2 linked regions of the Callithrix jacchus genome follow. The main gene of each other region encodes a partner of the protein of the gene in region 2 in a complex. Links are inferred from orthologs where the notes say so. Each region holds a gene or a part of one and is shown on either strand. Other genes may lie near its edges. The genes, in order: AP3B1 and AP3D1.

Evidence for each region.
Region 1: the proteins of AP3D1 (region 2) and AP3B1 are in contact, whole or in part, in a cryo-EM structure (PDB 9C5C), measured with the Homo sapiens proteins. The link is inferred for Callithrix jacchus from reciprocal best matches to the Homo sapiens genes AP3D1 and AP3B1. Residues at the interface, in NP_003929.4 of Homo sapiens: Lys352, Leu442, Ile446, Ser471, Tyr483, Trp487, Glu491, His517, Ala520, Val521, Gln524, Asn525, Lys528, Val561, Gln562, Ser563, Ala564, Leu566, Glu567, Gln569, Glu570, Arg571, Ser573, Cys574, Gln577, Leu578, His581, Ile582, Leu585, Lys588; in NP_003655.3 of Homo sapiens: Asn75, Lys466, Lys467, Gln470, Val494, Ala497, Ser498, Trp501, Leu531, Leu534, Gln535, Asn538, Lys542, Asn567, Tyr568, Asp569, Asp572, Arg573, Arg575, Phe576, Ile577, Gln579, Leu580, Lys586, Gly588, Ala589, Leu590, Ser591, Tyr593, Lys596.

What each region holds. Positions count from the first base shown.
Region 1 is NC_133503.1:132,830,950-132,834,764, forward strand, and holds part of AP3B1 (AP-3 complex subunit beta-1), read left to right. Parts: intron 1-763; coding exon 764-859; intron 860-1,472; coding exon 1,473-1,633; intron 1,634-3,371; coding exon 3,372-3,438; intron 3,439-3,815. UniProt on the Homo sapiens protein: Subunit of non-clathrin- and clathrin-associated adaptor protein complex 3 (AP-3) that plays a role in protein sorting in the late-Golgi/trans-Golgi network (TGN) and/or endosomes.
Region 2 is NC_133523.1:2,028,412-2,032,326, forward strand, and holds the start of AP3D1 (AP-3 complex subunit delta-1), read right to left. Parts: upstream 2,428-3,915; 5' UTR 2,211-2,427; coding exon 2,115-2,210; intron 1-2,114. UniProt on the Homo sapiens protein: Part of the AP-3 complex, an adaptor-related complex which is not clathrin-associated. The complex is associated with the Golgi region as well as more peripheral structures.

The sequences.
Region 1 (3,815 bases), on a different chromosome or scaffold from region 2:
TGTGCTATTGCACTGCAGCCGGTGTGACAAAGCAAGACCGTGTCTCAGAAAAAAAAATCAGAAAAACGAAAAACCATTTGCAGACCATACATTCAATCTTTTTGAATTTTTTTTATGTTAAATTGGTATTAATAGCCACACATTATTCTTACTGGACTGAAAATACCATGTAATACATGTTGAAATGTGAGTATTACCATAAAAATCAGAGTTGGAGCTCTGGACTCTTTTGACAGATGAGAAAACAAGTTCCCATAACATATAGTTAGTGGCCTGAACCCAAATTCCTTCTCTTATTATTATTTTTTTAAAAGATAGGGTCTTATTATGTTGCCCCCGATGGCCTCTGACTCCTGGTCTCAAGTGATCCTCCTGCCTCAGCCTTCTGCGTAGCTGGGACTACAAGCATGCACACCAAGCCTGGCTTCTTTATTTTATTTTTATCCTTCATTTTGAAAATATTTTTACAATGTAGTTAATATTCTTACATGATATCTGTTCAGGGATTTTTTTAATTCCCTTCAAGAGGAAGGGACACTTTGACAGGCTATTGCTATTGTGTATAGGACTATTAAAATGCTTACTTTAAAAGCTTTTTCTATTGCTACTTATTATCCCACAAAATATTATTTTTATTTTGCAATCTAAGATGTGACCAGATTTAGTTGTTTACTTGAGAAAAATTGAGCATGGATTTTGGTATAGCAAATATTGAGTGTTAAATTTTCACTGTGGCTAGGAATAAATGATTTTTTTTTAACAGATCAAGAAGTTGGTATATGTTTACCTGGTTCGATATGCTGAAGAACAGCAGGATCTTGCACTCCTGTCCATAAGCACTTTTCAGCGAGCTCTGAAGGTAAATAATGGAGTGAGTAGGCAAATAGCTACAAGGTTTCTGCAGAGTTGGAAGTGTGTCATTTAAAGAAGTGGAGTAGTAATCCACTAAATAGCCCAGTAGTGTCTTGAAAGAGTTAAAAAGCCTCCTATAGTGCCTACTCAATATGCTTAGAAAATAGTTTATATAACCAACTGAAACCTTGCTGTATATGTTGCAGCTTCTGTATGTTTGTTTATATTCAATATAATTATTTTTATGCTTCAAAGAGCTGTTTATCATTATACTAGTTGTTGAACGTGTGCAAAGGGGGTTATAAGACATTTTTAAACATGAAATTGATGACCTGCAGCATTTTATTATTATGAAACCATAAAAACCCAGCATATTTAGTAATAAATCACCAACTAGAATTATAACTATTTATTTTCTTTAAAACATTCTTAAAGAAATAAGCATTTATTTATTTCTGTCTTTCCTCATTTTCATATACTGGTTGTTCATTTTTAATTAAGTAGCTTTCTTTTGCTATTGTTATATTACACCCTTTAAGCACCTATTAACTGTGCCTTAAAGATGCCTTTGAAATACTGTATAGTTGAAATTCTGGTGAATATTTTTGCACTATTTTTAGGACCCAAACCAACTAATTCGTGCAAGTGCTTTGAGAGTTCTTTCAAGTATTAGAGTGCCAATTATTGTACCTATCATGATGCTTGCTATTAAGGAAGCTTCTGCTGACTTATCACCATATGTTAGGAAGAATGCAGCCCATGCAATACAAAAATTATACAGGTAGGTACATTGTTAACAATATACCAAAGATCTCTAATGTTACATGGAATATTATAGACCACAGAGGCTTATTTTATTAGCTCTTTTAACTAGCCTGTTCTTGTACTAAGTAAATCCGATGACTCTATGATGGTATTCTCCCCCCTGCAAACATTCCTTGCACATCTTTAATTTTGTTTTGGTTATAGAGACCCCATGCAGGTTTTATTTGTGAGGTTGTTAGAGCCTGTGATAATTTATAGATTTTATAACATAAAAATAATCAGAATTTGAATTCTCATTTATATAGTCTATCTCATGTACACATATATGCTAGTATTATTAGAAAGTTGAGATTTTTTTTTTTCTATTTAGGGTAGACTCTTAAGTGTATGATCCTCTCAACTCACTATTTTGTTTTCCCTTCTTCCATCTTTGTTCCTGCTGCTCCCTTCCTTGTCTAATTATTTTCCAGAGCTTTTTTATTAAGTAATTTTTAAAAGTGTAGTGATTTTGAAATATAGTGCTATATACTGTCTGTATATTTTAGAAATGTTATGCAGTATTATACAATGCCCTGATCTCTGTGGAAAATTTACTGCCCATGTAGAATTTTCTACAGCAATTTGGTATTATTTTTGGCTACGATTTATTCCTCAAGGTTTTTGAGACTGTCCTCTGTTTCTAGTGTTGTATTCACAATATTATGCTATGTGTATTTAGATGTATGAGAACAGTAGGGGATGTGGCACTTAATTATGAATAGCATATCACGTATTTGAGTAAGAAAATCAAAGACATGCCAAATAATTAAAGGCAATCTATAACTGAATAAGATATTAGCACTTGATATATATGTATATACAAAGGCACACTAGCAATGTCTTTGATGGGACAGGGACCAAAGCTTATCATACTGTGCTAACAGATAGTAAAGATGTAATGAGATGGGATTGGTAGTGGGATACTGTTTTGAGAAGGAAGACTTAAGCTAAAATTTGAAATAATTAAAGTTTGTCCAGATAATTATAATGTTTAATAATAAATGCATATGTTTGTAAAATGTGAAATCTCATATTCCTACGTTAACCGCCAAAGTTTTATCATGCTTCTCACTCACCTTTTCCCCTTAAACTTATGGGATAAGATCCACGCTCACTGTAATGGTTTAAAAGTCCTTCTATCACTGGGCTCCAGTATGTTCAGGCCCCAATGTTTGCCTCTTCTTGCCTTGAATTTATAATCTGTTAGTATTCTATATCAAATGTTTTGATCTCGTTACTTATTTTTCATAGTTTTAGTTGGCAGATTTTATAATGCATGTCTCTATCAGAGAATTAGTATGATATAAAATTCTTATTTGGAAATTCTCCATATTTGTTTTTGGCAAGTATATATTCCTAGTAAACTAATGATGGCCGGCTTGTTATTTTTTTTCTCCCAGTTGAAAAAAGAGTTTGTGGTTTATCTACTTTCCAACTCTTTTAGAAGTGAACTTGTTCTTTCAGTACTTTCTTAACTAAACCGTTGCTATCTGGCTTAGTTAATATAAGCAGTATTAGAGGGAAAGATTAGGGCATATTCATGAGAAAAACCATCCCATTTTACATTAAATTTGTTTTTTCTTTATTTCTGACTTTTAATTTCTTGCTCTTTTTTCCCACTTTAAAAATTTCTAAACATCCTTGAAATGGTGAGCATCATTTAAAGCTAGAATTAAAGGGAAAAAATTAATATAAGTTCTTTTTATATTTTTTAGCCTTGATCCAGAGCAGAAGGAAATGTTAATTGAAGTAATTGAAAAACTTCTGAAAGATAAAAGCACAGTAAGTAATGTATTTTTATGTCATTGAAGTAAAAATGATACATAGTATCATTTACCATTATATGTTTTATATCATTATTTTTATTGATTTCAAAATCGTATAAATATTAATGACACTCAGGCCTATTTTTGAAGAACAGAAATTTTCATGTAATGAGAAAGATTGCATTTGGAGTTTTAGATTTTAGGTGTTTCTTCATCAGAGTCTGAAAAAAGACAAGTTGGGAAAAAAGTCTTTTCTTTAACCCGTGGCTAAATGGTTAACTGGTTTTTGTGTTGAAGTTTTTATTTTAGCAGTGATTTATTACGATTGTAAAAGGCTGAATCACCTGGGAACAAATAATTATCTTAAGGTCAAATACTAAGAGGGATTGCAGA
Region 2 (3,915 bases):
GCGGTAAGCTGAGATCACACCACTGACTCTAGCCTGGGCAACAAGAGCAAAACTCTGTCTCAGAAAAACAAAAAAAGGGCCAGGCACAGTGGCTCACACCCATAATCCCAGCACATTGGGAGGCCAAGGTGGGCGGAGGATCGCAAGGTCAGGAGATTGAGTCCATCCTGGCTAACACGGTGAAACCCCATCGCTACTAAAAATACAGAAAATTAGCCAGGTGTTTTGGTGAGTGCCTGTAGTCCCAGCAATCGGAAGGCTGAGGCAGGAGAATCACTTGAACCTGGGAGGCGCAGGATGCTGCGAGCCGAGATGGCACCGCTGCCCTCCAGCCTGGGCGATAGAAGGAGACTCCGGCTCAAAAAAAGACTTTCCAACAGCAACACTCCCTCGAACGTGACCATGCTTGCGGGGAAAGCGCTATCAACTCACACCAATTCCAAAGGAAGAATCCCAGGCTCAGAAACTACCCAGAAGACAGGCACACCTCCCTGAAAACCACGCCCCTGACTAAAGGTGTGGTCGTCCACTGGGCAGACCCCCTGGCCTATCCTCAGGATCCCAGAACAGGCTGCTCAGTGGCATGTGCTGAAGGGGGGCAGGGAGGGCGCTGGGAGATTCTGTCCACGCAGAAAAGGTCCTCTCAGGAAGCAAGTCACATTTCCAATCTGGTGAACCAAGCTCAGCACAGTAAAACCCAGGCCCATCAGCGACGATGCTTTCAAGGTTCCATTTGGGGAGGCGGGGAAAGTGCTGTCTCAAAGCCAGCACAGGGAAACAGCTTCGAGCTGGACTTCCGTCTCTGTTGGGTGAGCATCACAAAGAATGTGAACATTATCCAGTTAGTTACACACTGAGACCAAAGCAGTTAGGGAGTGCTTCTGAGATGACAATCCAGGAGGCCGAAGAGACGCAATGGGGGTGGAGAACAAAAAAGACCTCATTAAGGCGGGGGCAGGCGAAGCCACGCCATTTGCCACCTGCGTAAAGGTGTAAGGGTTAGGGTTAGGGTCAGGGCAAGAGCTCAGGTTCCCAGGGAGAGGGGCGTGGGCTGAGGGACTCGGTGCCTGCAAGCAAATCTCTCAATGGCCCTGCCTTCCTGGCACCTCGTGCCCCACACGGCGTCTGGTAGTGGGGCCGGTGCTGTACCCGCCTCGCTGCCCAAGCAGGGAAGGAGGCAGGCAGTCGCTTCGGTGGGAGACGTTCTAAAGCTTCCACTGCCCAGGGGCTGCTCGGGCCCCCGTCAATGAAGCCACGTGGCCACTATGCCCGTTCTTCTTCGATCTAGGTCACAGGTTGGGGGAAGGGAGGGGCGGGAAGGAAACGATGCCCCCGTAGCTCTAATCTGACTTCTGGAAAAGGGGTTTCCTCGCCCTGGCTTTCAGGTTCCTGCTTGAAGTCAGCTTCCCCATTCCAGGCTCCCCCAGGCTGCCACCTCCCTGGGGCTTGGGGTGCAGGGTCCCTCCTCCCTCCCAGCAGCGGCCCCGCCTTCCCCGAAGCAGGGGCCCAGGAGGAACGGCCCCAGGACCACCGCCGCCGCCCCCCGCCCCGGGTGACTCCCAGCCAGGCCCCAGGGAGAGACCTCGACGTGCATTTACAGCACCCGGGAGGAAGGAGTTTCTCCAGGGGCGGCCCAGGACCCCCGGCCTCGGTCTCCCAGGGAGGGTCCGGGGGCGGGGCCCGGGACCCCGCACTTTTAATCGGTGATTCCGAAACACGCTCGGGCTGGAAAATGTCTGCCCAGGCACCTGGCCGGTCTCCTGGGAGGGGTCGCTGGAGCCCAGGGGGAGGCGGGCCCGCAAGTCCCTCGGAGGGAGTGAAATGAGGGTCCCGGGGGAAGGGCGCCCCTCGGCGGGGCCCGAAGCGTCACATTCCGGCAGCGCTTCCCCATCGGGCATCCGCCGAGACCAGGACCTTCGCCCCCTCGGGGATAAACTGAGGCCGGGGGTCCGAGGAGGTGGGCGGCGCTCCAGGCCCGGGGCAGGAAGGGCCGGAGCCCAGAGCGGGGCCTCGAACTAGGAGCCCGGGCGGGCTGCAGACCGAGCAGGCCCGGGGAGCGGGAGCGGGGCCGGGGCCGGGCCGGGCCGAGCCAACCCTTGGCGCGCCGGGCTCACCTCGTCCTCCTTGTGGTTGCGGATGCCGCGGACCAAGTCCTGCAGGTTCTTGTCGAACATGCGGTCGATGCTGCCCTTCACCATCTTGAGGGCCATCGCGGCGGCCCACGGGCTTGTGCCCCGGGAGGCCCGCGGTTGGGCGCCGTGAGGGGGCCCGGGGCCCGCGCCTGCCGCCCGCGGAGCGCTGCGCAGCCGGCCGCTGCGGCGGGGCAGGCTCCCAGGCCAGGGCGGCGGCGGGGTCCGAGGACCGCGGCAGAGGCGGCGACCCGCTCAGCAGGTGCCGTGATCCCGCTCCGGGCCACTTGCAAATGGCGGACAAGATGGCGGCAGGTCACCTGACGACAAGCGCCCGGTCCTAGCCGAGTCGGCCCCGGAAGCCCCGCCTCCCTGGAAGCCCCGCCCCGCCCCCGCCAAGGCGGGGGAGACGCTGCGTTTCCCTGACGACGACAGGTGGCCCAATGGAAATGTGGCAACACCGGCTCCGGCGTGCGTCCCCGCCTCTTCCGGCCCACAGATCTGAGCTCTCATTGGTCAGTGGCCTCCGAAACTCCACCTTCTTCCTCGTTGTCCCTTCTAGCCACGCCCCTTAAAGCCCGGTCCTGACCCTCCCATCAGCTGACAGGTATGGGCGGGGCGCACACGTGGAGCTTGGCCGGCAAGTTCCCGGGGAAGACTCGAGCTCCGCCTTTCCTGAATGTAAAAGCTGACGCGGCCTGAGAGCCTCCAAACCCAACGACTGGGTGGGGCGGGGTGGGGGGGAACGGATCCTGTGGTTCTCGCAGCCTCACAACGTCTTGTGAAATGAGCAGGGCAGGGATTAACGTGCCCACAGAAAGAAAATGAGGCCAAGGACGGTACTTCGACACTGTCATTCATTCATTAAACGTTTATGGAGGGCCCATTGTGTGCCAATCATGCAACAGTAAATGGGGGTACTGAGTCCTCGCCCTCCAAGATACATCATTAAGATTATGAAAAAATGTTCGAGGCCGGGAGCGGTGGCGTGAGCCGCCTGTAATCCCAGCACTTTGGGAGGCCAAGGTGGGTGGATCACGAGGTCATGAGATCGAGACCATCCCTGTCAACATGGTGAAACCCTGTCTCTACTAAAAATACAAAAATTAGCCGGGCATGGTGGCGCGTGCATGTAATCCCAGCTACTCAGGAGGCTGAGGCAGGAGAATTGCCGGAACCCAGGAGGCGGAGGTTGTGGTGAGCCAATATCACATCATTGCACTCCAGCTTGGGTAATAGAGCGAGATTCTGTCTCAAAAACAAAAAAAAAATCAGTCGGGTATGGTGGTGGGTGCCTATAATGCCAGCTACTGGGGAAGCTGAGGCAGAAGAATCGCTTGAACCCAGGAATGGAGGTTGCAGTGAGCCGAGATTGCCCCATTGAACTCCAGCTTGGGCAACAGAGCAAGATTCTTTCTCAAACAAACAAAAAAAAAGGGATTGTTGAGCATGGCGGCTCCATACCTTTGGTGAATGTATTCATGCATTTTTTTTTTGAGACGGAGTTTCGCTCTCGTTACCCAGGCTGGAGTGCAATGGTGCAATCTCGGCTCACCTCAACCTCCGCCTCCTGGGTTCAGGCAATTCTCCCACCTCAGCCTCTCAAGTAGCTGGAATTACACGCACGCACCACCGTGCCCAGCTAATTTTTTGTATTTTTAGTAGAGATGGGGTTTCACCTTGTTGACCAGGAGGGTCTCAATCTCTTGACCTCGTGATCCACCCGCCTCGGCCTCCCAAAGTGCTGGGATTACAGGTGTGAGGCACCACGCCCAGCCCCATGCAT